4 linked regions of the Struthio camelus genome follow. The protein of the gene in region 4 interacts with the protein of the main gene of each other region in a biochemical or structural test. Links are inferred from orthologs where the notes say so. Each region holds a gene or a part of one and is shown on either strand. Other genes may lie near its edges. The genes, in order: TJP3, CLDN1, PKP4 and PATJ.

The links.
Region 1: the proteins of PATJ (region 4) and TJP3 form a complex in vitro, tested with the Homo sapiens proteins (2 studies listed by BioGRID and IntAct, with this or other methods). The link is inferred for Struthio camelus from reciprocal best matches to the Homo sapiens genes PATJ and TJP3.
Region 2: the proteins of PATJ (region 4) and CLDN1 form a complex in vitro, tested with the Homo sapiens proteins (2 studies listed by BioGRID and IntAct, with this or other methods). The link is inferred for Struthio camelus from reciprocal best matches to the Homo sapiens genes PATJ and CLDN1.
Region 3: the proteins of PATJ (region 4) and PKP4 interact in a test that uses a peptide from one of them, tested with the Homo sapiens proteins (2 studies listed by IntAct, with this or other methods). The link is inferred for Struthio camelus from reciprocal best matches to the Homo sapiens genes PATJ and PKP4.

What each region holds. Positions count from the first base shown.
Region 1 is NC_090967.1:411,629-419,391, reverse strand, and holds the start of TJP3 (tight junction protein ZO-3), read right to left. Parts: upstream 3,094-7,763; 5' UTR 2,145-3,093; coding exon 1,918-2,144; intron 1,346-1,917; coding exon 1,231-1,345; intron 247-1,230; exon of another isoform or gene 1-246. Other genes in the region: PIP5K1C (phosphatidylinositol 4-phosphate 5-kinase type-1 gamma), read left to right, coding at 3,752-3,851. UniProt on the Homo sapiens protein: TJP1, TJP2, and TJP3 are closely related scaffolding proteins that link tight junction (TJ) transmembrane proteins such as claudins, junctional adhesion molecules, and occludin to the actin cytoskeleton.
Region 2 is NC_090950.1:19,952,216-19,960,585, reverse strand, and holds the start of CLDN1 (claudin-1), read right to left. Parts: upstream 3,182-8,370; 5' UTR 3,006-3,181; coding exon 2,783-3,005; intron 1-2,782.
Region 3 is NC_090947.1:46,342,969-46,350,493, reverse strand, and holds the start of PKP4 (plakophilin-4), read right to left. Parts: upstream 3,413-7,525; 5' UTR 3,398-3,412; coding exon 3,391-3,397; intron 1-3,390. UniProt on the Homo sapiens protein: Plays a role as a regulator of Rho activity during cytokinesis. May play a role in junctional plaques.
Region 4 is NC_090949.1:35,181,986-35,190,138, reverse strand, and holds the start of PATJ (inaD-like protein), read right to left. Parts: upstream 3,234-8,153; 5' UTR 3,070-3,233; intron 1-3,069. Other genes in the region: TM2D1 (TM2 domain-containing protein 1), read left to right, coding at 3,829-3,981, 5,060-5,129, 7,612-7,720.

The sequences.
Region 1 (7,763 bases), on a different chromosome or scaffold from region 4:
CCAGCAGCTCCTGTCTCACCAGCCAGAGCAGGCAGCGCCGGTCATGCCTGCAAGTCCCAGTCCTGCCCCCGGTTTCACCTGGGGCCACAACGCCGGGTCTGCTCAGAGCCAAAGGCCGCGGCCGGCAGCCAGAGGAGCCGGCTCGGCCGGTTTCCCAACAGAAACCAGCCTGCACCGAAATGGCCCCACCAGGAGAGGCAGTATCTGGGCCGTGCTGGTCACAGCCCAGCCTGACTCACCCAGCACGCCGTCTCTCTCCGACACGATCCCTGCATGCAGCCCGCTCCACCCCACGCACACGCCATGGCCGGCACCTCCCGGCCAAAAAAGCCCCAGGCTGTGCCAGGGCAAGTCCTCCCACTGTGAGGCCCCGATTCGGGGCTTTGTCCAGCCCGGGGTGACACCGCCAGCAACGCACCCTTGCCCGCTGGCACTCCCCAGGGTGCAGCATCGCTGCGTTGTAGGTGACATGCCAGCACACAGCAGGTGAGGGGGTTATTTATTGTAGAGGGACGCAGGCAGCTCACCCCATCCTTGCCCCATGGCGATCCCTACCACACATATGCTGTTCCCCAAGCCCCACAAAGGGGGTCCTCGGCCTCTGGGACTATGCGGGTCAGTAGCAAGCGTTCCCCACATCTCAGCTCAGGTAGTTCCGCTGCAAGTGAAACCGCTCGTCCCCCATGCGGTCCCAGCCACGCAGGAATGGAATCACTGGTTTCTCTAACAGTTGCCCACCATGTCCACTAACCCAACCCCACCTGCAACCCACAAGCTGATCCTGACCTCCCCCGGGGCCTCTCCGCTCTGGAAGGGGTCCCATGAAGGTCTGACCCAGCTGGGGTGTAAATCAGTAGAACAGAGGCACATCCTCCAGCCCTTGACGTGTGGAGCTGCGTCAGCAGGGACCCAGCTCCAGCCCTGTATCCCCAAGCCCAGGGTGAGCCAGGCGGCTGACAGAGACACTGCTCCTTTTCAAAGTCACCCCCAAAAGGGCTCTGCTCCTTGCCCTGCTCAAGTCCCCCAGATATTTCCCACAGCTCAGTCCCTGCAATCGGGGCAGGGCTCCAGGAGGGTCCCAGAGCCACCCTGTCCCTCCTGAGGCTGGTGGGGAAGGATGAACCACAGAGAACTCCCCAGGCGAAAGCAGGCTGGGTCCCCGTCCCTGTCCCTATCTGCAAACCGCAAACAGGGGCAGGCAGAGCCCATGGGACAGGATTAGGCACTCACCAAGTCACGACTCAGCCCTGCCGGGATCGGACCAGGAAGGAGCCAAGCTCCCAGGCTGGTGACAGCGGTTTCACTCCAGGGTGCTTTGCGTAACCCTTTGCGGGCCAGACGCTGCCTGCCAAGAGGGAAAGAGCAGGAGGAAAGGAGCCCCCTAGGCAGCTTCACAGGCATGGAGGGAGTCACGGGTGACTGCCCCCGTTCCTCCCAGTGCTGGCAGCTCGGCCACGGCGCTCACTCCCCACCCGGGCCAGGCAGCATTGCCATAGCCCCTCTTGATCCCGACAGGGGCGAGCTGTACAGGACACTGGGGACTGCAGTATCGTGGGTGCAGCAGGTCCTTCTCCCATCCTGGCCTGGCCCTCTCGAAGGAGGTGGTGGGTCTCTGTGCCACTTGGACGCTCCAAATGTCCAGATCCTCCCAGTGGAGCCTCCTTGGTGGCAGCACCAAGTTCCTGGCAGTCCCTGGAGACCAAATGGCTTCACCTGGCCACCCAAGAGGGGGATCAGACCAGTTCAGGGGGACAGAGTTAGTGACCAGCTGGTAGGTCACCTGGGACACCCAGTCCTGGGGGCCTGTGGGGAAAAAGTGACCATTCCCTCCCTGCTGATGGAGGCTGCCTTCACCCTTATTCCCCCTTCCCTGTAGCTCCCCCTTCCCTTTCACTCTGCCACCCTGCCCTGCCCCACCTGAGTACCAGCTCAAAGCCATTCCTCTTCATCCTGGGTCGGTTTCCTGCAGCTTTGGTGACTGAAATCAGGTTCGTGCATTGGTTCTTGGTCCGGCCTGCTGCTTCTGGCCGTGGTCTGTATCGAGACCACAGAGGATAATCAAAGCCACGTGCATGGGTGCTGTGGGGGGACCAGTTCCTCCTGAATCCCCCAGGAACCAGCTTCCATCCCAGGGCCAGAGACATGGACACAGCCCTGTTCAGGTCGTGGAGCCACCAATTTTACCACAGCTCGTCAAATCAGCATAAAACCGCTCCTTCTTTCAGAAGCACCATGCAAACACCAAGGAGGATGGCGCAGCTCCAGTCCAGCCAGATGCTGCTCCCCAGACCCAGGCAAGGAAGCACACAGGTCCCAGCCTCCTCATCCACGCTGCAGGGCATCTGCTCCCCTCCCTCGCAGGGGACACAGCCGGGATCACCTCCAGGGCCCCGGGCAGGATGGCGACGCTGCAGACTGCTGAGCAGCCTCATTAATGTTCATCACCACCTTACTCGGCTGCGTTAAGTGCTGTCCTGGGAGTGCACTTTACTACCAAGCTGTTTCCCATCCAGGCTGCTCCTTTGTGAGGCAGAGCTTGGCGCAGGACACAGCTCCTGTGCTTTGTCTCTGTCTCCTGAGCCCTCAGGCCAATCTGTGTCACTGGTGTTACAGGGTCCCCACAAATCTCAGCCACACCCCTCGGGGAACCACAGGGTTTGCTGGGGACGGGGATGCAATTATTTTAAAGCAGATGGTGAAAACACTCCCCTCTCTCCCAGAGCAAAGGGAGGAGAGCTGCCAGCAGACACACCGATGTGCTCCTCTCCGGGATTCCCGAAGCCTGTGACAGGGACGTGCTGCTCCACCGGTCCCACTTCGCGCCCAGGGGACCGGCGCCTGATGGCGTTAAGGGACCGATCAGCCGAACAGGCAGTCGGCGGAGCAGGAGCTCTGAGCCGACCTGCTCTCCTCCGCAGCCCTCGAGGCCGAGCTGCCAAGCTCCCGGCCGGTCGGGGCTCCTCCATCCCCGCCGCGCTTCGGCAGAGCCCGGCCCGGGTCCTGCGGGTTCGCCTGCAGCTCCCACCGCAAGGCGCCAGCGAGGAAGGCGAGACGGCGGGCCCCTTCTCAGCGCCTAAGGGCACGGCGAGGCCGGCCCGGCCAGAGCCGCGCACGAGGCCGCGTGCCGGACGTGCCGGGCGTGCCGGCGCCGAGCGCCCCGCTGCCCCGGGGTCGCGCAGGCCTGCGAGGCGCCGCCGAGGGCCCCCAGCCCGGCGGGTGCTCTGCCGCTAGATGGCGCCGCGGAGCCGCCGCCGGGCCTCGGCGGGGAGGCCGGCCCGGGCCCCGGGAGGCGGCGGGCACCGGGACCTGCCCCCCCGCCACCGCGGCGCCCCGCGCGCTGCCATGGCAACCGGCACGCTCCGCCCCCGCGAGCCTCGCGGCTCCGCGGTGCCTCCTGCCCCCTAGAGCGGACAGAGGAGAGGTTGCTCTCTCCCCCGCTCTCTGACTCGCGAGGCCCCGTTTCTCTCTCGGCGCCTTCCAGTCACAACGGGGTCCCGCGCCGGCGCCCCGCGGGTTACTGCGACATCCAGCCCTACGCCGCGCTTGATTCCGACGGAAGCCTCTCCCGCCATTTCCGCTCTGCGGAGCGCTGGGTGTGTCTAGCCGCGGTACCTCCGGCGCTCTATGGTATCTGCGGCCCGGCGCGGTTCCCAGTCTCCTCAGCGGCGGCGGCGGCCGGTGGCGGCCGGAGCCGGGGAGCGAGCGCGGCGGCGGCCGGGCGGGCCCGCCCCGCCTGCCCTTCTCGGCGGCTATGGAGCTGGAGGTGCCGGAGGAGGCGGAGGGCTCGGCCGTTGAGGGCGCTGGTGCCATCACCCCGGAGGCTGGCGGGGGGGGACTGGACACGGCAGGAGGTAAACGGCTGCGGGGCCGCCCGGCGCGGGGGTTGGGGAAGCACCGCCCGGGCTCGGCACCCGCTGCCCGGCGCCCGCGGGACGGCGCCGCCCGGCCGGGCCCCGGCGTGTCCCTCCTCCGGTGCGTCGTCGGCGCCCGGCAGCCGCGCCCGGCCCGGCCTGGCCCTGGCGTGTCCCCCCGGGGCCCTGAGTGGTACCGCCCGCCGGGCCCCGCGGGTCGTCCCCCCCCCCCCGCACCCGGAGTGGATCTGCCCAGCAGGGCCCCCCTGGAGTGCGTCCCCCCGGCCGGCCGGCCCGCTGTGGCGGCGCCCCCCCCTCCTGTCCCCCCCCCCCCCCCGGCCGGCCGGCCCGCTGTGGCGGCGCCCCCCCCTCCTGTCCCCCCCCCCCCCCCGGCCGGCCGGCCCGCTGTGGCGGCGCCCCCCCCTCCTGTCCCCCCCCCCCCCGGCCGGCCGGCCCGCTGTGGCGGTGCCCCCCCCATCCTGTTCCCCCCCCCCGGCCGGCCGGCCCGCTGTGGCGGTGCCCCCCCCCCCTCCTGTTCCCCCCCCCGGCCGGCCGGCCCGCTGTGGCGGTGCCCCCCCCTCCTGTTCCCCCCCCCCGGCCGGCCCGCTGTGGCGGTGCCCCCCCCTCCTGTTCCCCCCCCCGGCCGGCCCGCTGTGGCGGTGCCCCCCCCTCCTGTTCCCCCCCCCGGCCGGCCCGCTGTGGCGGTGCCCCCCCCATCCTGTTCCCCCCCCCGGCCGGCCGGCCCGCTGTGGCGGTGCCCCCCCCTCCTGTTCCCCCCCCCCGGCCGGCCCGCTGTGGCAGCGCCCCCCCCTCCTGTTCCCCCCCCCCGGCCGGCCCGCTGTGGCAGCGCCCCCCCCTCCTGTTCCCCCCCCCCGGCCGGCCCGCTGTGGCGGTGCCCCCCCCCCGGTGGCCTCAGGCCCGGGCTGTTTCCTGGCCCCGCGCGACCAGGGCTGCCCTGTGCTGGCTCCCGGGGGAGGCCCTGCCTACGGGTGCTGCCCGGGGGGCCCTGGGGCCTGTGGCAGGGCAAGGTGCAGGGCTGCCTTCTGTCCCCATGCTTGCACCGGGGCCCGGGAGCCAGCGCTTGCTGGGGCAGGATGGCTGTGACCCCCTCAGCGTCTCCCGAGATCCACCCGCTCGCCCGGATCTCATTGGGAAAGGTGGTGCCAAGAGAGCAGCAGCACCGATGGCTCCAGGGCTTCTCCCCGCTCCGACCACTGTCCGTGCTGCCATGCTGGTGCCAGCTCCCTCCCGCCACACAGATCTGTCCGCAGCCCGGCAGATCCGGGGTGGTGCCTGCCTGTGCAATGCCCTGGCAGTGCTGGGAGCTGGTTGCCCCCGTGCTGGAGCACTGACTTCCAAAGGTCGTCAAGGGGTGGGCATCCCGGGTTCCCACCCTCGAAGCTGTCTTCCTGCAGGGAGCGTATTTTCTCTGGGAATTGCTCCCGGGATATTCCCCGTTTTCCTGGTGAAAGTGTGAGCCTGGGAGGGTGGTGGTTGTCCAGGGGCAGGTAGAGGATGCTTGGGAGGCCGTTCCTTGCTCTAACGCCTGCAGAAGTTACCGAGCCCCTGCCAGCGCTTCCTCCCACATGGCCCTGCTCAGCCCCAGGGGTCCTCTCCAGTAGCAAGAGGGTGGCATCGCTGCCGCGTCAGGCTTCGTCTCGGCAGCGGCGAGATCAGGAAGGCCATTTGTAAGAGAGAGTGAGCGAGCCTGAAAACAAGCCTCATGATATATTGCTGGCAGTATTAAAAGAATTTGGGTTTCTCGGTTGGCAAGATCAGATCTGTGGGGCTGTGCAAGTGCACCTGCCTCTGCCTTTGCTGGCTAATTTATAGTTCATTAACAACCTCAAAATTGCTAGCTTTGGGTTTGTGCGTGATGATACAGCCCTGCTCTGTTGTTAGGTTGACGAGTTTCATTGTGGGCCTAATTCAAAGCTCCCAAGCACCTGTCTGAGCGTGAAGTTTATTCAGAGCATTTCACGAGATAGCTGGGTTTTGCTTGTGTTGTGACAGTGGTCTCGTTGTCTTTGGGGCTTTAAATTAGAATCGTTAGATTTTCAAAAACCCAACAAATTACAGTGGAAAGCGTGATTATTTCAGAGATGTCATCTGCTGCATTTGGGGAGAGCCGGATGCAACCTATAATTTCTTTGAAAGGTGCTGAGATTTAGACAAGCAGCGAGCTGTCCCCGGGCTTTCTGGTTCAGTTGCTCAGTGCTGCAAGGAAAATGGAGGGGACAGCTGCATCCGGCTGGCTTTTCCCAAGGCTGCTCACGGTGCTCCCCCACCCACCGTTCAGACCTCTTTTCCGGGAGTGTGCTCTGAGTGCTGTGTTGTATGGCCAGCAGACTTGCAGTTTGCAGTGCTAAGGGAAGGGAGTGGAAAGAGAGCTTCTTGCCAATGAGCAATAAAAATATTGTTTCTGCTTCTGATCTCTTTGTTACCTTTCTAGTTTTGTGGGAGTAGAGGGTTCTTGTTTGATGCTCAGGACAAGTTAAAGTGGCTGTGGAGACTGTTGCTCAGACGGGCTTAAAGCAATGAGTATGTATTTTCTTCTCTTTGCAAGTAAATCTGGATTCAGGGAACCTGTAGGCTGTCTTACATGGATAGTAAAAAGATGAAATGGAGCCAATAATCTCACTGATGCTTTGATTTTTTTTTTGAGTCAAGTTGCTTACTCCTCAGTTATGTAGTGTCCAAATTGTGTCACTTGGCCCCAGCTGTGCTTGCAACTGGAGCTCCCAGGAGGGCCAGGGACAACATGCAAGACAACTAATGAGTATTTTCTGAAAGAAAACAAAACCTGATGCAACTAGAGGTGTTCCTCGGTGAATTGTGTGTGAAGGCACAGCTACAGCTTCGTGGGGAGGTCTGTGCTGCAGTTCGGAGGTCAGGACTGCCCGCTGACAGAGTGCGTTTATGCACTCTGAGGTCTTTGTTGCAGCAGATGGGAATAATACATGCCAAAATGATATGCCCAGGAGCAGAGGGGATTTGTGCTGAACTTCATCCTGTTTTGTTGGCTGCTTCTAAGCTGACAGCTCTCCTAAGTTTTGTTTGTTGTGGCTAGTGCACACAGTGCTGATGTCTTTGATGCTATTTGGAGTAGCGGTGAAGGCCGTGGTGGTGGTGAAGTGCTCATGATCCACCTACACTGGTGCCCAGTGCTCACCTTAATGCTTGTGCCATTGATAACGAATTACTAGCCTAGCTAAACATCTGCTTTCTGGCTCTTTGCCAAAGAGCGAGGACGACTTTATGTTGCACTCTTGCTAAATGAACCTGACAGGGTTAATCCAGTCTGGCCAGGTCAGCAAAGACCTTCCGAAGAGCATGCAGGAAAATGCCACGGTGTAAACATCAAGAAAAGAAGAGAGCCAGTTAGTCTGTTACAGGAGTAAAATGGAAGTTCCTGAGTGGAGGAGAGGAAAGTCTGGGAAACCTCCCCAACAGTGGGATGATGTAAGGCCTGGAGAGTCTTCCTAAGGGAGCTTTTGGAGGTCTCCTAATGGTTTTTTGGGGAGAAAAACTTCATGTAGTCTAGCAGTACTACTTTGTTCATAAACACACTGTCTTAATTCGTCCATTTTTGGGAACCTGGCTTTGAGATTTTTAAGTTTTGTAACTACTGTGGTTGAAATAGGAGTTTCAAAATCTTATATATGTAAGTGGTCCCTGTGCCTTCCTCCTGAATGTGTTCCTTCTTGCTGTGGGAAGAAACTGCAGGGAGTTTGAAGGATTATTTGCCAGTTTTGGTGCAAGGAGCAGTGTACTTGATGGGAATTTCAGTGGTGTTCAGCCACTGTGCTAGGAGTGAAAGTGGTACACACTGAAATTATTCACGCTGGGGCACCCTATCCCCAGAAATGGTTGAATGAGAAAAGAGCATCACCATCCTGCTACCTGGGTGCA
Region 2 (8,370 bases), on a different chromosome or scaffold from region 4:
GCCTGGTCCTGTTCCCCACAGCCTTAGAGGAGCACAAAGCTGAGCTAGCTCCACAGTTGATTGCAGAGGGCGACAAAAACAACACTGAGGCTGTGTAACAAAATCTTGTTGCAAGGGTGGCTTTTGCACCTCTTACGCCTACATGCAGCCATGCACAGCTTTTCACATATGTCAGTCTGGGACGTGCTCCTATTCGGATAATAGGAAGGCTGCATTTTGCCAGCTTAAGCCCTTAGCTGAATGCAGCTGCTGGAAGAACATCAGCATGGTCTCACTCCAGCAACATGGCCATGCTGGAAGCTGAAGGCCCCTCAGTCACTAACAGGGCATGTCAGCTTATGCCAGCCCAGTCTCTGATGTGCAGCATCAGTCAAAGCAGCCAAACATGGATGCATCTGAAGAAATGGCAATAGCTACCAGACATCCAAAAGCTTCCTGGCAAAACTTTCCATCATTCCCATGACTTGAAACTACTGTAGGTGTGAGGACACTCAGCCCACTCTATGGAGGTAAAATTGCAGGATCTGAGCTTCTCCCATCACTGCCTGAGACCCTGCCACGTGGCCTGGAGCAGTTAGGGCATGTGTAACCTTGGCAGGGAAAGCATCGCAGTTTAGAAGTTTCTGTTGTACTGTCTTCCCTGTGACATAAATGACATGAAAACTCTTCTTATTGCACAGCTGCATCCATTCCAGGGTGTGGCTGCTGAATTGGGTGATTGCCTCCCACCAACCAAAACAGCAATGCTGGTTGTCATTATCCAAGCTTCTCACTGCCTGTAGGACCCTGAAGTATGCCAGGGAAAACAGTCAGAGAAGATACTATGTCAGTAGACATGCCCTGCTTGTGAGTGGGAAGGGCACAACCTGAGAAAGCTGGAGTACCAAAAGAAAAAGGTGTTTTTTAGCCACGCCTTGCTGACTTCAAGGAAAAAGACATCCACAGAGATACTCGTGTTTCTTGGGCTGCCTGAAAATTTCCAGGCAAATATGCTCCATAGGGCTTGGGGCTCTGTAACAGGATACAAGGCCGCTAATAGCTCAACTTCGGTCACCAGCACTTCACAACTCCCCTGTGGCCTTGGAAGGGCCTGTTTGCAGAACAAAGGTGAGGGGAGCAGCTGTTATTTAGCCCTTAGAGATGAATGGGGTAGGTCGGGAGGTCTTTTGTCAGGTTTTTAGGAATTTGTCCGGCAGAGCTTTGCATTTGATTCTGCAGGCAGGTTTAATTTACACAACAATAGGCTACAGCCAGAGAGCCCCTCAGGCAAATTTACCTTTCACAAGTGAGCCATGGGTCGCTGGAGATTCTTCAGCCCTGCTGTATCCTCCCACCCACCCCCCAATGCAGAGATAAAAGGCTTGAAACTGGTCTTATACATAATTACTACTCAAAACACCCTGTGTGCTTAGCCCAGCCCTGATTACCCACAGCCTCGCACGCTGTTAGTGCTAAGTGAGTGCATCACACTCCTGAAGGGAGTAATTTGCACCTACACCAGCTGCAAAGCCTATGGGTGTTCAAGGCAGGGGAGCAAGGAGCACGACTGACATGGAACAGCAAGGAAGGTGGGGCTCAGGGTGTTCAGCTTCGCTAGCGTGACACACAGGAAGGGATGGTGGCAATCTCTAACTTGGGGATACTCCCAATGGTCCCTCTTTACAGTTTACGGGAAACTGCATGCTCATTCCTTTAGAAAAAGAGAAGGTGACCAAAAGGGCAATTATTCTTTTATTAATTATGGCTAGAGAAGGATGAAGGAGTCCCAGGACACATTCACCTCTCTGGCATAGTCTTATGAGACCTGGGATGTAGGGAAAGATATTGGGACAGGCCTAAGTTTTTTGTTTGTTTGTTTAACTGAGTGTCAGGGTAGTCATAGTCTGAAAAGCTGTTTCAGCACTCAGACCTTGTGAGAGTCTACCAAGAGAGCAGTGCAGAAAAGCAGACAAACAGGATAGAAACAACCTTCACTAGGGTTGCAGCTCAGAGTAACCACCCAGAGTGGTACCCCAGCAGGGCAAGTGACAGTTCTCACATGCCAGAGACACCTTTTGCCATCTCAGGCTGATGTAAAGACAAACTACCCTGAAGTAATGATTTGCCTAAAAACTACCAGCTATCCTTACCTGGGCTAGAATCCAGCTCACCTGCCAACCCTTTGCTGAAAAGCCCCAAAGGGGTAACAGTGATCTACTAAGAGAATAAAATTACACAAGACTAACAGTAAGATCAAAATAGACAAATGCAGAAGAAAAGGATCCTTGCTAGAAAAATTTCAGCACCGTTTTATGAATATTACTTTACTGCTAAACCATACCCAGAGAAAGACATTTTCTACACCTACAAGCACTTGCTCACAATCACAGCACTTCACTTAACAGCACTAGGGACAGGATCTGCCCTCCGTGGAGATGTCACTGGGGAGCAACAGTCACCGTTGCTGTCTCATCACTTTGCAGGACCGGGTCCCAGCTCACCCACAGCTGCCAGGGCAGACCAGAAGCCTGCAGGACGGCTCTCCAGCACACCCAACCCCAACGGGACAGACACCCCAGTTCGACCAACCCCCCCCTGTACCCCCAACAGAATAGGCACCATGGGAGGTGCAGAAGACTCTCTGACGGGGATCGGCACCCAAACCCCCATACACCCAGTCCCGTTGCGACGGGACCAGAGCCCCGTCCAAGTCCCGACAGGACGGACACCCCCAGCCTGAGCCGCAATGGGCAGCAGGGTGACCCGGACGGAACGGGCACCCCTCGCCCCTGCCTCGACTTACTCTCCAGCTTGAGCAGCGAGTCGTACACCTTGCACTGGATCTGCCCCGTGCTCTGCATGGCGCACGACATCCAGAGCCCCTCGTAGAGCGCTTGGGCAGTGACTATGTTGTCTCCCGCGTAGGATGCCATCTTCCACTGGGGCATGGCCGTGCTGATGATGATGCCTATCCAGCCCAGGAAGGCCAGCACGAAGCCCAGGAGCTGCAGGCCTCCGCTGGCCATGGCTGCACGGGGCCGGGCCGCGGCGGGGGTGGCGGAGCGCGGGGGGCGCCGCCGCCGGCGGAGGGGCGATGCGGAGCGAGCAGGGCAGCGCGACCAACTCCGCGCAGCGCAGTGGCAGCCGCGCACCGCCCCGCGCCCCTTTTAAGGCCGCGCAAAGGGCGCCCCCTGGCGGCCGCGCCCCCGCCCCGCCCCGCGGGGCTCCCCCGACGGGCCGGGCCCGGGCCGCCCCCGCGGTGCGGCGGGGCCGGGGACCACGGGAGCCGGGGCGCGGCGGCCCCCCACCCCCACCCCCCGCTTCTTCCGGGACTGCCAGCGGTGGCGGCTGCAGCGTCGGGGGAGGGGGGAGAAGGGCAGCAAAATGTTCTCCGCTTCCCGCGGGGCAGAGAGTGCCCCCCATCCTTCAGGGTTTCGCCAGGACCCACAGCGCTCGGCGGCACCCTCTTCCCAGCAGTGCCCGTGGGGAAGCGGCTCAGGGGACTGGCCGCAGGTGCCTGCCACGGCACGCCGGCGCTGCTTTAGCATCTCTGGACACTTTGGCACCTCTGGTTGTGCTCAGGGTTCTCCCCACTTCTAGGGCTAGGGGCCTGAGAGCAGGGACCCGAAATTATGTTCCTTGGGTCTTGCTGCCTGTTGCCGTCCTTTAACAGCCAGACAATAAACAGGCCTTTTTGGTGAAGAAACGTTGCATGTGCCAATGGAGCAAACAGCAAAGGTAGAAACCAGATTGTGTCAGTCCTGCTCGTGTCTGTGTGACCTACCTCCAGCAGTGCAGGGAGGGGAGGCCTTCCCCACCACACGGCTAGGGCAGGGGGCCTTTCCCACTGGGCACACACCCTGCCTGGTTTCTCCAGCATGGAGCACACTTGGGTATAAACTCCTGTGAAGGAAACCATACAGAAGTAATGGGAAATTATTAGCATTTAAAAGGAGTTTCAGAGGCTGCTGAGCAAACACTGATCATCCATGTACAAATGCTTCCATAAATCCAAACTTCGAGGCTATCATTTTAATAAGGACCATGTGCTGCACCTCTTAGCATTACTGGGTCTCTGTTAAAGGAGAGATTGAGCATTTTGGATGCTTCAGTGAGCCAAGTGACTTGCCCCAGTTTATTGAATAAAAGGGTTGGTTACAGACCAGGAAGAGAGCTGTTCTTCTTCTCAGTCATGTATCTGTCCCGTTACTTCAGTTTCCCTTTCTTCTATCTGAATATTTGAACATTGACAGATCTGGACTCAGAAGAGCTGGAGTGAGGAAATACTGTCTGCATCAGAGGGCCCAGGGAGCTCATGGCATGGCCGGGGTGGTGCTGCTTTCCTTTCCTACTGCAAAGTAGATGGAGGGGACATTCAGTGGGTGTCTGGTGTAATTCCAGGCGGTAATTACTGATAAAGGCCTTGCTGAAGGTGGGGATGGGGTTGTATTGTTTTGACACTGTGGTTTATTGCATTCTGATGACTTAGGGGGTTTTGCTGGAACTGCTTCCTGAGATTTGCCAACAGGCAAATGAATAGACTTGTGATTACCTAACCGGTACTGTGCAATGATGGGGGGGGGGGTGTCAAAGGGGAGAAAACCAACTGCAATCTAAACACACTGAGAGAGACAGAGCAAGTCTAGTTTGCTCTGGAAACACTTTCAGCTGCTGATCCCCAACTTCTGGACATCTGCACTGCTAATGAGGAGATCAATCTTTGCTAGTTACATGGTAGCAAATACTTCCAGTTATGTCCCTGGTGAATGCATATTTTTTCTCACTTGCAAGTAAAGACATTAGGTAGCTATGGGGCTGCAACTGTAGAAACGGTGCTTTACTTGGTATCTGTGTGCCGCAGTTTTACAGGTTTGGGAAGCTGAAGAAGACGAAAGAAGCAAAGCTTTCTCTGGAAAAGCAGAGATGAAACAGATGCATCACTGTGCATATTCACCAAGATTTCTGTACAAGGGGTAGAAAAACCAGAGTGATGCTGGCTATTAGGGTTGATCCCTGGGAAAAGCCTTCCCTGCCTGAAGAGGAGGGATGACAAAAACCCATTCTAACCCAACGAGAGCAGGGTTAGGAGTGTCTGCATTTGACCATTGATGTGTGACCAATCATATTGGTCCAATAATGTCTATCTGCGAAGGAGTAGACTGTGTTCCCAGGTGCTTTAGCATGAACTGACTCACCCCCGCTCCTGACCCTTACACCACCCCCTAGATGAGCAGGCAGCTCCTTGCTGACTTCTGCAGTGTGAGATCAGCTCTGAACCTGGCTTCAGGTGTGCAAGTCCCAAAGATACTTTTAGAAGGTTTAGATCCTTTGGCTGCAGGCCCTGAGCAGCCAAAGGAAGGGTAACAGCTGTTTTGTGTGGGAAGGACTTGAATTTCCTAGTGAACCTTTTAGGAAAGCAAGGGGAGGGGTCCTGGGTGGCAGCAATCTGGCTGCACTTGTACTGGGAAGGAATCTGTGCTGCTAGATCAAGAGTGGGCTTGAGAGCAGGAGATGCATGTAGCATACACGTATGCACGAGCTCCATGATGTAGCATTCTGTCCGTGCTGCTGGCTCTGGGAGGCACCGCAACCCAGGCTCACTTTGGCCTTGGGAAAAGTTAGTCTTGGGATATGTCCTGGTGGTGTGAATCTGACTGCTTGGGCATATACTAAGACAACACACATCTTCAGTTTCTTCCCCTTTCAGAAGGTCAGAGAGCTTTGACTAAAGACAGCCTTATTCTGCAAGGGGTTCTTTCCGTGGGATTGGAGTCTGCAGCTGCCTGGGGATGGATGCTGTGTTACTGAGGGGCTGTTCAGCAGTCCCATCGCTCCTCCGTCCCCAATGAGTGCTGCACCAGGCAGTGTTAATGGGCTGTAAGCACGGCAGGCTGGCCTTGCATCAAAGTAGATGTAAGGCTGTGCTCATGTACTGGCCTTAGGAAGGCTCCAGAGCACAGTACTTCTACTGCGCTCCCACTTGGAGAAATGGCTGTGTGAACTCACCCTGAGCCAGCCCACTCAAAATCCCATTTGTCTGGGGCTAATTTTGCAGGTATCATACACATCAACTTTGGATCCTTCCTAGAAGGGCTTGATGTGCAGCAAGGTTTCACTGGTGCCAGAGCTCATGCTGGGCTGACAACCGAGAGTACTTTCACTTCTGGGTGCATGCTCTCGAGCTACTGTAGTGATGAGGACTTGTGAAGGAATAAATGTAGAATATGACATGCATTAACCTGTGCTGAACTGCATGCCCCACTGGCATGCTGAGATATATCCAAGTGCTCTTGGACTTCCCATAGTGTAAGTTGGCTGCAACACAGGCTCTTCTCTGTGCCTATGTAGCCTGTTTCTGGGCACAGGTCTGCTTCCTTCCTTGTGGAAATAAGAGCTTGTAGTCCATTGCTCATGTTTCTTCGACCACTGAACACCATGATAATCAGTAAAAACACTCCATGTCGGAGTCCCAGCATTATGAACACCCCATCTACATTTTGCTTTCCAGTGACAGTTTAAACTTGATGCTTATTACTCTCATGTTTCATGAAAGACTTCAAAACTGAGCAATTCTTTCTGTGGACATCACAAAGAATTTACAGATCAAGATAAAACATTGAAGCTCTGCTTTTTTTCCTTCATCACTCTTCAGTGTTCTCAGTGCTCTGGAATTTGTTGGTAATTTTACAGCATTCCTGTGACCAACAAGTCTTCTCTTTTGGGGTTCCTTCTTTTCTTTGACACTTGAAATATCTTCTCTGTTTGCTTCCAGTGATCTTCACTAGTTTATTGGGCAAAACAAACCCCTCTTTATGCAATAATCACTGCCTTTTCTCCTCTGCTGGGGTTCTTTCTTCTCTGGAAGTCCCTTAGAGTTTTTATGTGCTAGTGCCAAATTTTTCTACCTGACTTTTGGGGAAAATACCGTTGCTTCAAATCATTAGTCTCAGCTGAAAGACCTGTTTTTGTCCAAGATGTAGCAATCTCTTCTGTATTCCCCAGGCTGGAGGGACCCCAATACTGACAGTCTTTAGTGACTGGCCTGTTCTTAGCTAAGCATATTAGTCCTCCTCTTTTCTTCCTTTACAAAAGCAGGATAAAGTGAGAATATGCTAAAGCACAAGCATATAGACAGTTATTGGAATCAAACTCTGATTTTATAGCGTTGAGGTAAATAAACTCCTCTAATAGTTCACAGAGATTTTCCTTATGTGTTACAGTCGTTGCTGCATCTGTCTACACTAAGCAAATGTTTAACAGCCTGGTCATGTTGCCCCTTTGGGTGTTGTTAGTCAGAGCAGCAACCTCACCTTCATGCTAAGCAGGGATCTGTGCTCTTTGGGTAGTTAGCGATACCTGTTTGCTCTTCTGGCAAAAACAAGCTTTAACACCTGCCAGGACTTGCAGGAGAGCAGCTTGTTTTCCTTTTCTCTCGGGCATTTCTTCAGGAAGGTGTCACTGTGCAATGCCTGTGTTCAGAGAACACGTGCTCATGTGTGAGCCTCTGTCCTGGCATTCCGTAATACTGGCCCTGCGGCTGCCCTGAATTCATCCTTGCGTTAGATACATTAGAGGGAAACATCTCTTCCTGATTTGAAGATCGCCAGTAATGGAGAGTCTACTACAGGGGATCTGCTGGAATCAAGAAAGGACACCCCTGTCTGCTCCTCTGTCCAGCTACAATGACTAGGTGCACAAAGCAGGCACAGTTGCATGAGCCGGGTTTCAAAGCAAAGACACAAGCTCCACCTCTGGACCAGAAAATGAGAATGGCTATGGCCATACAACAGCCCATCCTGCTGTGTCCGATGGCAGCCAAGAGTGGCGCCAAGGAATAACACAAACATAGTGATGCTTTCCCAGAATGGGTTTGTGGTCTGCCCTGATCCATGTCTAAGGGACATCCTGAGCCAGTGATGGTGCTTTTTAATTCAATTTTCCTCATTGGATTTTTTCTCCATAAATTTGTCTGTCTGTTTTTTGAAACTTCTGGCACCTGCAGTGTTCTGCAGCAGGGACTTTTACAAATCAACTTTGCATTTCATGGAAAAGTATGGCATTTTGTTTCTTCTGAACCCTACATCTTGCTAGTTCATTTGATGTCCTAAAAGTTCTATACCAGGAAAAGAGGGCAGACTGGATGGACCACATTGATTTAGTTCTGGTTTGCATTGCCTAGAAAGGACTTAAAATATCTTTGCTGTATATCTCCCAACTGACTTTTCTCCTCTCTTTTTCTTTCTCACTCTCCCATCCATCCAGGAAAACTACTCCTGCTAAACCTTTGGCTTTGAGCATTGTTTTGCAGGCAACACTGCTGTTTTGACTTTAGTCAGCTGTTACAAGGATGGGAGACTCTTGCAAATGGTCCTTGGGATTAGCCAGGGATTG
Region 3 (7,525 bases), on a different chromosome or scaffold from region 4:
GGGAAAGACACACAGATATAGAACTTAACCTGCATAGTACACCATATATGACCAAGCAAAATGTATTACAGCTGAAGACAGTAGGATTGTTAGGGTCCTGAAAGCAGTGCCATGGGGTGAGATAGAGGGGTCTGACAGCCCTAAGAGAATCCACACCTGATGAAAGCAGATTTTAGCCAATAAAAACACAACCAAAGGCTTCTGAAAAGTCCATGCTATAAACACCAAGAATTATATTTCCAATAAAAAAACTCCAACGTAGTCAGAACCTAAGGAGATGGAGACAGAAGATCTGCTACAGCCTTTCATCTAAAACTCTGACTGCATGAGGGGACAGTCACTCGAAGGAAAAAAAACAAGCCAGCATCACGAGAACTTCACAACACTGAAACAGTGAGACACAGTAGCAGTCTACTGGAAACGTTCAAGAGAGCCCAAATTAACAGCCCAGCAGGCAGTGAAACACTTCCTGACACACCGGACTTCATTCTAGCTTGTGCATTCGCAGACCTAAACTTCGAAACCTCCTTCTGTTCCCTTTCAGTATTACACAGGCCCTGCACGGATTTAAGTGTTCATTAATAGTTAAAGTAGGCTACACTCTTTTCACTTGACACGGAGATACTTACCTAACAGAAATAATTCTGTCTTGAATTCCAGGAGAATCAACTGCCTTGTAATTGTTATAGCCTTCTTTCACCCAAGTAAGTTATTTATAACGCCTATATATTCCCCTTTGACTGCGCAGAGTCTATAACACCACTGACACTCTCAAGGCAGTGCCGCCTAATTTTAAACACTGGCAGGAAACAAAACATTTCTGGGTGAGATAGCAATTCTGCTCATCTTCCAAGAATCTTTGATTTTTTGCTTTGTCACTCTTCATATTTGAGTAACACTCAAAGACGTGTATCTTTATTCTGAAGTACAGCTGACATCCTCCCTCTTCATTTTACTGAAGTTGTCACACTTGACTTCAGCAATGAAATTCATTTTCTCTAGAAGTACTAGAGCTGAAACATTTCATTATCGTATTTCAATTGGCAAATATTTTGTTCTTCCAGTGCCCATGCCTGATCAAATAAATAAATAAATAAATAGCATCAAAAACCCTAAACAAATTCGAATTTTTATTTCTTGCTGGTCAGAAAAAGGTCTACTTTAACTTAGATTTCTGCCTGTCTGAAGAAACAGAATTTAAGACGGGTGTTTAGAATTACTGGATAGACCCCATATGAACTCAGCTATTCATGCCTTAATAGGCAGATACACGTTTTCCTAAACAGGCTCGAGTAAGAATTAAATTTGTTCTTATAACATCCTCCTTACAGTCATCCTACAGTCTTTTTTGTTTTTTGGGTTTTTTTTTTTTAATATATAAAATGAAGGCCTGTATAACTGAACAACCTGACAGCATTGCTACCCAGAGGATGAACGAAGATCAGTGATAATGAGCAAGACTCGTAAAACAAAAAGGCCAAACAAGGAACATTAATATATTATGCAGAATTAAAACAAAGCGGGGAAGGAAGAGTAATGGAATTTAGTTAGTTCCAGCACAATTTACTTATCTTTTTCCCAATTCCATAGCTAGAAATAGGATGGGAAATAGACTGCATTGCTTCTATACGACTTCATTCACATTGCAGTGTTTGTATGACTTTGTTCAACTTTACTTAAATACAACAGAAAGTAATAACTCTGTGTTAATGCAGCCCACAGAATATTTGTCCATAATAATCTTATTTCAGATAGTGGGATAACAGGAAATGCATTTGGCTTCAAGATTGATCCACTAAAGAGTCTTCATTGCAATGGCTTCAAAATAAGCACAAAAACATCCAGTATAAAAGGAAATTCGGATGGAAAGAAGTCATTCTTTTCATTGTACAAAATCCAAGTTTATGCAAGATAATCTCTGAAAAACTATACACAACATACAGGGATGCATGCATTCCTGTATTCCAGCTCCGTTAATTCTCAGATCGTGTCTGCTCATTAGAAATACCAAGTTCTCATTATGGCCAGAGAGATTTCAAGAAACATATTTTACTGTTCTACTGCTTTGTAAAACCCATTTCAGCATACCTGACTCATAACTGGTTCTTAAAATGACAGGATTTGAGAGAAGAGTTTACAGATTTTAAGTTCTCCACTATAGCAAAGAATGAACAGGAACGGAAGGATTTAACTGTATCGAGGTAGGTCTTTTGGTGGATGTTGCAGATCTGTGAATGATGTAGGGTTTTTTTGTTTGTTTGTTTTTTTTAAGTATAGCTCAAAAGCATAACCTGAGATGCTTTTAAACTTTGAGGAGAGATTATCAGCAGACTTGAGGAGAACAGTAAATATTTGCCAGTATTTTCTGTAGATATCAGTCTTGAATCAAAATAATCAATATATTTGTAAAGTGTTTAAATCATTTTCCAGAAAATTGTTAAACACTTCATATTATAGTATATATCTGAGAAAATTCTTAGCACCAATTCTGAATTTTGAAATTCTCTATTTAAAACTAGAAGATAAAAGAACAGAAGCAGTGACAATCTAGCTCTATATTGGCCTGCATTTACATTTTCAAGCTAGATGCAAGTGTGCAGGAAAAGGAAAGTAAGGCCTTTCAATTTGAAGTCTGTAGTCTGAAATACTCCATACTAATTCGAAAAAAGTGGCTTTCTACTCCTCTCTACTACTGAGACTCACTCAAATGGTTTCATGAAATCACAGTAAGTTGGATCAGAGCACACCAAGCCACAAAAGAGAGTTAGTTTTCAAACCAACCAGTTTATGGCAGAGACCACCTCTTTTGGCAACTGCGTACGTTTGCTGAAATAAACCTGGTTTACACAGCACTTACACTGTTCAGAGGATACCTATTGCCTCCACTACCACAGCAGCAACTCCTAGCCCTCCTCCACTTGGGGAGTAAAAACTCCCAGATCTCCCATTCTGCAGCAAAGCAGCGTGGTTTTTGCCAACCCTAGCAGAGATGGTGGGGCAGAGCCACCACCGCCTAGTTTGCCAGTTCTGACACTGCCATGGGTCCTCTAAGCCCACAGTGAAGTTGTAGGCTGCAAAAATGGGTGATAACCTCTTGTGTCTGATCAAAAGGTCAAACAGCTGCAAAGCAAAAAGTTCAGTGAACTCATTTGACACTATGCTCACTTTTTTTTTGTTCTTTTGGTTGGCTGGTTGGTTGGTTGTTTTGGGAGAGGGAAGGAGGAGGATAATTTTCTGAACCAAAGCATCTTGCATCCATACAATCACTGATGGAAGGAAGGAATGAGAACATACAATGGAGGAGTAAGGGAAAAATAAGACAAATCACTAAACTGGGTGTAAGAAATAATGCTTTAATTCTCCTTGTTCTTGCTAGTTTCTATTCCTCACCTTTCATTGCTGCTCCTGTTACACTCTCAGTGATATTCAACAGTCTCCCCAGAGTTTAGTAATTTCTCTCCTTGTGGTGTGGGCAGGAGAACTCAGACCTTTCTTGCTGTCTTCCAGACAGCAAGAATGGTCCACAGCTTGCATTCTTTCATATTCCTCTTGCTCCACTTACAGAGACGGTTCACCAAATTTTCTCCTTCCCTGAGTTCCCTGTTTTGGAGTCTCACAGGGCTGACCTGAAGCAGTTTTCTCAGGTAGCAGAAGCCCCCAATTAGTTGCAGCTAAAGAGGTAATATAACTCTTATGAACACTGTCAACCAGGATAGGATAGACTGTATATACTGAATAAGAGAAACATGAGAAAAACAATGAGCAATGTCTCATCACTAAAAATCCTCGTATTTATCTAGCCACAAGATTAACTCAAGCAACAAAAGCAAATCACTGAAAAGCAGAGCTGTACTCATTAGTACAGCAGAAGAAAGCTCCAATAAACTAAACCTAACTTTTGCAGGGACATTGATGTGTTATTTATTATACAATTAAGTTGTTCATTTAAATTCATATGCTTAAGCAACAAGGCACGTTTCAGTGCTTGGTCAAAGATTCTTCTGTTTTCATCCTTCACAGCATATGTAAAAGTTGAAAACAAAACAAGACTTACTACATTTGTGCAGTTTTTAGATGAAAACCTAATTAAAATTTATCTGACTTTATGAGTTAGTTCACAGACATGTCAGTACACTTCTAGTTATGAGTAGCTCCTATTAGCTCCAACCTGCTATGAGAGTTGCATCCAGTGTTGCTTGCCTACAAACTAGACAGTGATTCATATTCTCAAGCTTGGTGCAACTGCATAATTGAACTAAAATAAATTCCATATTACATTTATCAGCCAATTGTTATTTGTTTAGATGAAAAGACAGCAGATGACAATTTATTCACTTGCAAAGAAAACACAAGCATTTAGAAATGGATTATGTGAAAGATGATTCAAACATTTACATGAAAAATAGTTTTAAAATTTCCTGATGTAGTAAGGGCCAAGGTACTACAAATATCACACTATAGGCTAACCATTCCATTAAAATACAACTTTTCTTTATGGAGATCATTAGTGCAGAAGTTTTATACATACCATACCATATAGTGCTTTCTGGAAATTTACTGTGGTATACAAGCTGCTGGGAATCAAGTGTTATTGTAAGATGAGTGTAAAACAAAGAACATGTTCCTGGACTGAATTATTTGATGAAAACAGGGAAGGAATGGACTTCCATAACGACAGCATAAAAAACGACTGCACAGTGGCGCAAGCTGAGTTCCTCAGCACCAAAAAAATGATCTAAATGTAACAGATGCACTGCTTGAGAAATATGGGAGATGCATTTAACTCTCTTACTAGTCTCCTCCTCATTCCTTTTCCTTTTAATTTTTTTTTAATATATATGTGTATATACATGTGGGTATGTATATATAATAGCACATTGAAGTTCAAAAGGCTTCTGGTGCTATATGCTTTTTAAAATGTTAAAAACAATTACCCTAGTCTTTGGGTAAATTTATTTCTATTTTTTGTTACAGCTCATAAGAGGCGGCAGGCGTTTTTTTTGGCCTATGGCAACATACTTTTACTCCACTCTAGTGAGCAGGCAAGATTCTACATCCACAAAAATCCAGTTGTAACATGCTCACAGGATTAGTAATTTTATAGCTTTCAAACTAACCATTCAAAAGAAGAGATCAGACAGGTATAGCAAGAAGGCCACTTTGAATAAGCGCATACTTATGATCATAACCTCCAAGGCCTGAGGCACTGTTTGTAGCTCGCCTTAAAAAAGAAGGATCTTTGTCATCTGAAGGGTGTCTGGAGAGCATTCATGCTTCACAAACGCATGAAGTACCACAAGCCTCAAGTGCCATAAAGGATACATAACTGACAGCCCCCAAATATGAATCTTTTCCTTTGTACCATTCCAAATCTGTGTTTCTCTCTTCTGACTACATATTTTAATTCACTGCCATTAAAAAAAAAAGCCTCATTGGAGCACAGTGTTCAAAAACAAATCTGTAGACTAGTAAGCACATTTATAGCAATAAATGTTTGGTCTTATCACAGTACGGACTGAGAGGGAGAGAAAAGTATAGCAAGCATCACAAAGACTTTAATTTTCCAGACGATCAAGTGACAAAGACATTCATATCTATTATTTATCCTTTAGAAGTATTAATCCTTAGTTTGGTGTTAGAGTATTCTCAGTTAACTCAGGGTATGATGACATTCACAATGAATATCACATGACAAAATAATTTAAAAACTGTAACAGCTGAGTAACTGTAGTGAATGTATGCTAAGCAGAATGTATGCTTTTACCAGATACTCGTAATACAAGCTCCAAACTGATACTCCCATCTGAAAACTCTTATAAACAAGCAAACGGAGTTTGATTGAGAATAACTGTAAGCAAAGATAAAAATACTACCAAGCAGAACAATGACTGCAGGAGCTTTTCAATCTCTACTTATATTTACTCTCAGTCCTTTAAAATTGTTACTGCGGCACTACTCTATCCGTTATTGCTAGATACAATACACACTACCTGTAGATGCAGATATTTTTTTAACTGGTAGCATTATAAAACCAAACCTACTTTATATGCATTTATAAAAATGCACCTCAATTTTGTCATGTAGTATGTTGAAAAAAACGCATTATACAAACAATCTCCAAATTATTATATTTATAGATAAGAACAAATGCTTAAACGACAGCTAACGAGTTCTCTCTGGACCTCTGGACTGCAATTTGCTCCCCCCGTTTTGCCAGTGCAATGTTTGAGGGATGTGGGGTAAGCTGTATCACTGAAGTGGTCCCAAACTAGACACTACCAATCTCCTGCTGTGTCCTGCCTTAAAAAGTTACCTACACAGTACAGGTGAGAAATCCCAGGGGGGAAAAGGGAGGGGGAGAAAGGAATAACTGTTAGAAAGCTGTACTCAAAGCAGTAGTTCACTTGCATTGAAAGGAGGCATCGGGAGGGGTTCTGCCATGAGCTTAGCGTTCTCCAGCCATAGTTACCAGTGATAGCACAGACGAGAGGCAAGGCAATTAACATTTTGTAGAGGACAGCTGGGGGTTGGGGGATTATGGATACCTTTAGTGATAGGTTCAGAATTCAGAGGTCATGAACAATAGGAGAAAAGATCTAAAAATAGATGCCAAGCTCATAAGCAACTGGTCCTAACTCATACTGAACTTTGAAAATTGCTACTCCTATTTTAGGCCTTAAAAAGAGTTTACATGCCCAAAAGCTTGTCTGTTCATCCCAGCAATGCTCACTGATTTCCTGTTAGCTCAAGGTACAAATCCTGCCTTGCCTATATCCAAGCTCATCCGGGCTACAAATGCTACCACAAAGGAACAAATGCAATACAGAAGACAACCAGCAAGGCAGCACCTCTGTGGAAAGCAACATGAAGTTGCAAAAGTATGCTTTTCTGTGACAAAGAAAGAGACCTCATTTACCACTCCTGCTTATTTTACATTTCCCTCTACAAGAAATGCACAATCTTCCCAATCTCCTTAGCTGAAGAAGTATATCCAGCTTTGGGCTGGACATTTCAAAGCTGGATCAATTGAAAAGGTAGAGGAGAGCAACCAAAGCTCTGCAAAAATGTCTGTTGGACCTGCCTGTGCTTGGTTGTAACAAAGACTAAGGAAAAAAAGTGAGAACAGCTGAAATATTAAATCACTGCAGGAAAGTCAAAATACTAATAAAAGATGGTACTTAAAAGTTACTGTTATCTTCTTACCAAATATCAAACAATATTTATGATTATTAATACTTTCTTCTTCTAAATACGATACTGGGATGCTTTGCCCCCTTCCAAGTTCAAGGAAACTATTTTTTCAGGCTTTTTGATAACTACAGATAATAGAACAATTAAATGGTCACAGTTATGATTTAGATATGTCTGGCAATCAACACTGGCACACTTAAATCTATTTTTTTAAATCTATACTTAGATCTATGTCCCAACAGAAAAAGTTAAGACCTTAATCAGCTAGTTTTATTCTGCTTTAATTTAACATTCAAAATCAGGGTTTTGAAACAGATGACTACCAAAAGCAAAT
Region 4 (8,153 bases):
ACAACCGGGGAGGGGGGACAGCTGGGCCCCCGGGGGGGACACAACCGGCCTCCCGGGGGGGGGGACAACCGGGCTCCCTGGGGGTGGGGGGAGAACAACCGGGGGGGGGGGGACAGCTGGGCCCCCGGGGGGGACACAACCGGCCTCCCCGGAGGGGGGGGAGAACAACCGGGGGGAGGGGGGGGGACAGCTGGGCCCCCGGGGGGGACACAACCGGCCTCCCGGGGGGGGGGGACAACCGGGCTCCCCGGGGGTGGGGGGAGAACAACCGGGGGAGGGGGGGGGACAGCTGGGCCCCCGGGGGGGACACAACCGGCCTCCCCGGGGGTGGGGGGAGAACAACCGGGGGGAGGGGGGAGGGGGGGGACAGCTGGGCCCCCGGGGGGGACACAACCGGCCTCCCCGGAGGGGGGGGGAGAACAACCGGGCTCCGGGGGGAGGGGGGGGGACAGCTGGGCCCCCGGGGGGGACACAACCGGCCTCCCCGGGGGGGAAACAGCTGGGCTCTGGGGGGGGGGGGGAACAACCGGGCTCCAAAGGGGGACAGCCAGGCTCCCCGGGGGGGGGGTACAGCCGGGCTCTGGGGGGGGCAACCAGACTCCCGGGGGTACGCAGCCGGGCTCGCTGGGGCATGGCACAGCACTGCCCCGCGGCCCCTCTCCTCTGCTCCCCCCCCCCGCTGCCCTGAGCCGAGGGGAGGGGACCCCACCTTCAGCTGCAGACTAACTAAAAGCAGGGGTGAGCCTTGGCGGAGGATAACATCCAAAACGTGACCCGGGCAGATCCCACGGCCCAGAAAACGGATCGCGAAGAGAAGGGGCCCGATATTTACGTGCCAGGCGCCGCTTCGACGCGCTGGGGACGTGGAGCGCGGGAGGAGGCACCTGCCGGGCCAAGGCCCTGGGTGGAAGCTCGCGTTGTTCCTGGGAATGGGACATTCAGACCGGCCACGGGCGCTCTGCTGATCGCTGCCCTTTGAAAGGCAGCGCTTAAAAGCCAAGTGCATTTTCAGCTGATTCTACCATGCCAGTTTATTTCTAATTCACAGCCCTAAGCGAGATGCCTGTCGACACAGCTGCCCAACTCCCAACTGAAGGTGCAATGGAGGTTTAGAAAACCCAGGAAAGTTTTTAATTTGTATTTGTCTGCAATAAATCAGGGGCAAGCAGGAATTCAGGCTACCCACGTGCCGTACGTACACCAGAGGCTCCGAACACCGAATTTCCCGTGGAGGTAAGGCAGGCTTTGCTCAGCCTCATGAGCGCAGGCCCCTGCCGCCCCAGCTAGAGGGGAACGGCCCAAGCCCGAGCAGGACTGAGGCTTGGACGGAGCTAAGTAATTCAATACTACCCCGACAGAGCACCAAAACAAAAGCGCACAACTGTGTAAGGCAGCGTTCACCACAGCCGGTGCTGTTCCAAAGAGCCCTCTGAAATACACATCATCTATGGCTTAAGAGATACTGAGAGTTGACCAGGAAACCTTTCTGGTTAGTTTGAGTGAGGGAGTAGCGGTCTGCAGAGGCAACTCAAGAAGAAGCAATAAAAGCAAAGAGGTTTCTACCGCCAGCCTCAAAACACTGAACACCCAAAGCTGGCTGAGGTTAATGGGAACTGTGAGTGCTATGTATGTTAGTCTGCTTTCAGTTATGTATTTATTGAAAATATCAAATGAACCCCGCCAAAAATAATTTTATTCTGCTACTCTGTTTTACTAGCTCATTTCTAGCAGATCTCACACAGCCCTGCTAGTTACATAGGATAAGCACTGTAAGAGATTTGGAAACGAATTTCACCTCAGAAGTGATAATTGACTTTCCTTCCTCCCAATGCCCGTTTAGTCTGTTTTACGAAGCACCAGCAGTTGTACTAAAATACATAACATGCTAAGAACATACAGCATGTTGTCCTCCTTTTTTAAGGATTCAGATTCCAAACGCCTAACTTCCTGGTCCTTACCCTCAATTTTAATTAACAGAGTGCTTGTGAGAAGCAACAATTTTCTTGACAGTGATGAAGAGCAAGGCCTGTATTTATCCACCCGAGAGATGCGATGCAGACAAAAGAGCGAAGCACTCTTCTCATCAGCGTGCCTCAATCGTGATCTTGGAGGGCCGAGTTCATTATGAAGTGCACTCTGTCCCTGGCCTTTCTTTTCCAGCCGGCGAAAGGAATATCAATTTTGATTTGCATACTTTGTCAGCTGAACTCTAAGACTGCCAATTCAGTTTACACAAGTCTCTCAAAAGCTGTGAATATTTCACATCACTGGCTGAGAAAAGACATCTCTGACAGCCATCCATGTATTTTAGGTCTGCATTTTTACTGATTATCTGGGACTGTAGCAGACTGTTCGCTGCTACTGACAGACTCATGCATTTGTCACCATTCGCTCATGAAAATAATCAACTATAAAACCAAAAGATTTTCAGAAACGCCGAATAACAATGACACTCTCTTAAATACTATCTGGAAGTGGCTTTCAACCTTTTCCAGTTTCTAGGTCCCTAAGTGTTTTTCGGAAAGTGCTTCTAGAGCAGATTTGAAACCAGAAACAGTAGCGCTGCCTTTCCAGGTTCTGTTTCCACTCAAACGGTCTCTTCGTCTCATAAACAGCCAAGGATTCCCAGCAGTTTATAACTGAAAACTAATGCACTGAAAAACAAATACTAGATTAAAGAAAAAAAAACAATACTTAGAAAGACACTAGGTAAAATAACCTTAGAGAGAAGGTTGGCAATTCCTATAGAATACCTTACAAAGAGCAACTGTTAATGAACATCAAGCTTGTCTGCTCTGGGCACTTAGTACTCGTACTTTATTAACAAAGGTTACGGAAGCACGTTTCACCATCGGACCCATTTCAAGGTAGAAATATTCTTTTCATAGGGCCGCTGTGCGCCTGCAGCTAAGGAGCCCCCCCCACCACCACCACCCGGCCAGGTTTCGGGCCGGGGGCCGGAGGGGGGGGCTGCCCGCGGCGGCAGGCTGCCTGCAGGCCGCCTTGCTCAACCTCTTGCCTGCTTCAGTTCTGTTAAACGCTCTCCTGGACGACACACGCGGTACTTACGGGCACTTGCTACGTGTGGAGATTAGGTGGGACCTGACTGACAGTTATTACTTCGGTTTTTGGGGTTTTTTTGGGGGGGGGGAGGATGGGGGGAAGAGCGCTCATCTCTTTTCGCTGCCTTCGCGCAGCTCCCCTAGCCGAGCTCTCCTCCCGCCTCAGGGCCCGGGGCGGGGGCGAGCGGGGGCCGCCCCCGGTCCCGGGGAGGGCCGAGGCTCGCCCGCCGCTCGGCTCCAGGCAGCGGGCCGCCCCCGGGGCTGGGGCACTCGGCTCCCCGCCGTACCGGACCGGGACTCGCACACGGAGCGGCCGCAGCTCCGCGCCGCCGAGCGCCTTAACGCGCCCCCCGCCTCCTCCCCTCCTCCCCCACGCCGAAGCGACGCTCTTCGGGGCGGCCATTTTGAGTAAGGGCAGCTGCGGCGCCGTCGCGTAGCGGCTGGGCGCGGGCGGCGGCCATCTTTGTCCCGGGCACAAGCCCGTCCGCCGCGTAGACGCGCCATCTTGGCAAGGGGCAAGGTCTGCCTGCAACGCTGCCGAGAGTGCCTCAGGAGCCATGTTTGCTCAGGTCAAGAAGAGAAAAAAAAAGAAAAAAAAAGCCCAAACACGTCAAAAACCCGAGAACAACTATAAAAAAATCCCCCTCCGCCCTTCCCTGCGGGCAGCGCGGCCTGTCCCGCGGCGCGGCCCGCTCCTCCCCGCAGCGCCGCCGCCGCCGCCGCCGGGGGCAGGCGAGTCAGCTGACGGGAGCGGCTCGTTTCCATCATGGCCGCCCGGCCGGGGCGGCTGCCGGCGCGGAGAGGCGCGGCGGAGGCCCGGTTCCTGCTTCTCCTGTGGTTCGCGGGGGGTGCGACCGTGGAGGGAGCGGCGAGCCGGGAGGCGCCGCTCAAGTGCGACGAGCTGCGGTTGGGGCAATATCCTGAGCGCGGCCGGGGGCTGGGAGGCGGCGGCCGGGCCGGTTGCTATGGCGACGGGGCGGGGGGGCGCGGACCGCTCCGGCTGGAGCCGGTCCCCTCGGAGGAGAAGATGGAGGGGGGGTGGGGGGTCCTGCGCGTCTCTTGCTGCTCCTCAAAGGGCATAGACAGCCTCAGGAGCCCCCCCCCCCCGCCTCCCCCCCGGGGGATTTCGGCTAGGAAATGGAGCGGGGTGATTTTTTAAGCTTGATTTTTGGGGGTGGCGTGCGTCTCTTTGGGGTGTCTCTCGGATTTTCAGCGGTAAAACCCTGCGGGATGTGAGACAACCCCCCACTACCATCATCACCCTTCTTATTTTTCAGGACACTGTAGGGCGATGCAATGACTTTGCACAAATCGAGCCTGTCTGCCTCGGCAGCCCACGTTAACGGGTGTCAGGGGCTGCCGGCTCTGCCAGGGCGCGTCAGGCCTCGCCGAGAAAGCCTGGGCTGCTAGCAGGCGGCAGCTGTCGGCGTAGCTGCGCCTCAAAGGTGCCCGGAGAGCAAACCCTGGAAAAGTTAACTTCGTCCTCCGCTTTGCTTGGCCGCAGGACTTGAGACCTCTGCAAGTTGGTCGCTGCTCAGGTTTATTCTAGTCCCGAATCCTGGCCATTCGCGTGCCCGTTTTCAGATGTTCGCTTTTGAGTTTTGGATGTTATTGGAGATCTAATTTTCTCAACCAAATAACCTCAATTTAAATGCGCTCTGATAGCGAGATAAGGGAAGAAGACGAGATTAGTTGTGCTGTCTTGCAGCCTTTGAATGCAGCGGCCAGGACTGATAAATGTAGTAGTGCTTTCAGGTAGTGCTGACTGCAGCACTAATTAAATGTGAAGCTTATGCAATGTATTTATGTATTAAATTGATTTGGCAGATTTGCTGTATAGTAACGTGCTGTTCGTATTTTGGGGGGCGGGTAGAAAGGAATACTGACATCAAGGTACATCTTAAATCCTCAGGGGTTAAAGAGGGTGGAATAAATTAACACTAAGCCTGTAGTAGTGGTTGATATGAAAAATGTTTTCCTCAATTAGCTGAACATATATTTGTGATGATCCTAAAATAGACAATAGTACGCAGGAACCAATGAACTGTACAAATCACACTGCATATGGTAAGGATTTTCAACCTCTGACATACATTGACGGTAACAACGTTTTCCAAGAATGTGTTCAGTTTATGCATTTGTATATCTGCTAGATGATCTTTTTAAAACGTGGAATCAGTAATGTCATTGCATTATTCTGATAGCCTAAAACACTTGGGCAGATTGGATGCTTTACTAAAAATGAAGAAATGCATTGTCTTTCATTAGTATAATTGTAAGTGAGGTTTTTGGTAAATCTCTGCAATTTCTGTTATATCCTCTCAGCTCCATCCTTCGCTACAGTGATTAAAACAACTTATTTCTGTCATACTAGATTTTGCATATGCTTATTAGAAGAAGAATTGGCATGAGGCATAAGAGCCTCAAAATCTTCCTTTTTAATTTCTTTTAGGGAAAAATGGTGTATGTCATTATCAGGAGTTTGTGGTGTCATTAGACTCTTGTTTTGAAAGCCCTTGCATATGTTTTGATTTTGAAGTCTGATGCTCATTTGAGTACAGCAGATGAATACTTAAATTGGTCACTTGGTTTACTACCTGTTTTTAGCTTGTCTGATGTTCTCAGGCTTTGAAATAAATGGTCCTTGCAGGTTAGCTAATAGTATAACACTTTTGCTTTACGTGCACTCAAAATACACATCTATGCTTATCATCTCCCTTATTTCACTTTCTATAAACAATGAATAATTTTATTCACTCAGATGCTCGAGGTAGTCAAGCTTTTTCAAATACCTTTCAGAGTAATATCCAAAATGGGTCCTCCTTTAAGTTACTGAGTCCTTTACCTTATCTGAACCTGAGAAAAAACTTCTTCACTGTGAGGGTGACAGAGCATTGGAACAGGTTGCCCAGAGAGGTAGTGGAGTCTCCTTCCCTGGAGATATTCAAAACCCGTCTGGATGTGATCCTGGGCAATATGCTCTAGAGGACGCTGCTTGAGCAGAAGGGTTGGACTAGATGATCTCCAGAGGTCCCTTCCAACCTCAACCATTCTGTGATTCTGTGATCTTGGACATCTTGTCCCTGATTGTAAGCAGTCAGTCAGAGTATTCTGTAGCTGGAGATGCTTCACAACTCAATTTGTTAACTGTGTCTAACTAATTAGTGGATGTTTGTATTTAATGCAGTATGCTTTTGAACAGGAGATAAGCTTCAGAGTGAGGAAAGCTGCTTAATTGCTTATTCTTTTCTATGTCAATGTAGAGTTTTTATGCATATAACTGTCTTTAAATGGTCCCCACAAGTATCTGAACCTTCCTTTTCAGTACTATCTAAGTAATAAAAAGTTAATCTAGATCACAGTTGAAGAACAGCAATCTCTAAACGTTTTTCTAGGTCCCATCACCAAAGCAAATATGAGTTTAATTCCAAGCATCTGAGTAATCTCATTTGGTAGCACGTTTGGAGGCTTACTGGCATAATATTGACAGGAAAAGACGTGGCCTTTACTCTCTGAATACGTTTTGACTGCTGTGGGTTTCTTCTAAATAACATAATCTTTTGCTATCTTTCCTTATTTTTTTTTCTAAGACAGAATGCGGCTTTTTATAATCCTCTCAGATTAGGCACATTAAGCAGTAACATCCATGTAGTCTAGGTACGGCTCATGTTTTTCAGGTGTTACTGATACTGACTAGCTGATACTAAATTTTTTTTTTTGTCCCTATGCAGTATGGACTGATATTTAAAAAGAAAGCCAACCAAATCCATTTGTAGTCTTCCTGTAAGTGTTACTGGAAAATCAGGAAAGAAATATTGAACATGGCTGGAAGTTAGATAGAACTCAAAAGTACTGAAAGGCAGTAATAGAAAGCTAGTAATAGAAAGTGGAGGAAGGATTGGATTTTTGCCCTTTGAAACAATTTCAACATTGGATGGTGATTAATGTTCTGGTAATATATTGCAGACTTCTGGCAGATGTCACTTTGTTCTGTGATTTCCACTTTGGTTCTTTTATGAGTCAAGCCGTAGATTAGAATTACAGAATAGCTTAGGTGAGAAGAGACCCCAGGAAGTCCTATCATCCAACAACCTTCTGCTCAGAGCAGTGTCAGCACTGCATTCACGTGAGGTTGCTTCAGTCTTTGTTCAGTCAGATCTTGAAAACCTCCAAGGATGGAGATTGCACCACCTCTTTGGGCAGCTTGTTCCAATGCTCGACTCTTCTCAAGAGGAAAATGTTTTCTGTGTATCCAGTTCAGACCCTTCATTGATTCAGAATGGAACAAAACCAGAAATTGCAACAGAATTAGGGGAGCAATTAGACTTGTATATTTTGCTTAGTATGTATCATGCAAAAAGACAAGTTAGTCGTAGGTCTGGCTTTAAACAATTCAGTCACACAAGCCCTTGTATACAATGTTGCGTATCGTGACCGTTGCACAGTATAACTTCATTTGTTTACTTCACTATGTCATATGGCTTGTTAGAAAAATGCCACAATCCCAGACTGATTTTTGCGTAAATTTGAATAATTTTTCTGTCCTCAGTTCAATGTCTGCCAGCACCAAATATTACCTGTAAAGATCACCTTGGCATAGAAAAAGTCTTTACTGGAAATGAAGTTGGATTTTACAAGCCTATTGCATGTCGAAACGTGTAAGTACATTACTGTGTTTTGTAATAGTATGCCTTTATTTTCACACTGAAGTTTTTCTAAAATAGTATGATGTGTTGGCAGAAGAAAAAAGAGAAATGAGATAGAACACAGCACAGATGTTGCACAGTACTTAATGTTCTAATAAACATTATAAATAGTTCAATGATAACATATACATGTTTATACGTAAATCTGTCTCTATGTTGGACACTTGTTTGTTTGTTTAATTATGTTTGTGTCTTTGCTTTACCTTAGTACTTACCCTACTGAAGATTTGCCACGAATGCTAAGGTTCCTTTTTCACATATGCTGCAAATCAGCACAGCTGCTTAAAGGTGCAGTCTGAGGACCCCTCTCCATCCCTTCACCTGGCATACCCCATTGTATACTGAATCAGGGCAAACTCATCTGGGTTTGAACCCACTGGGAGCA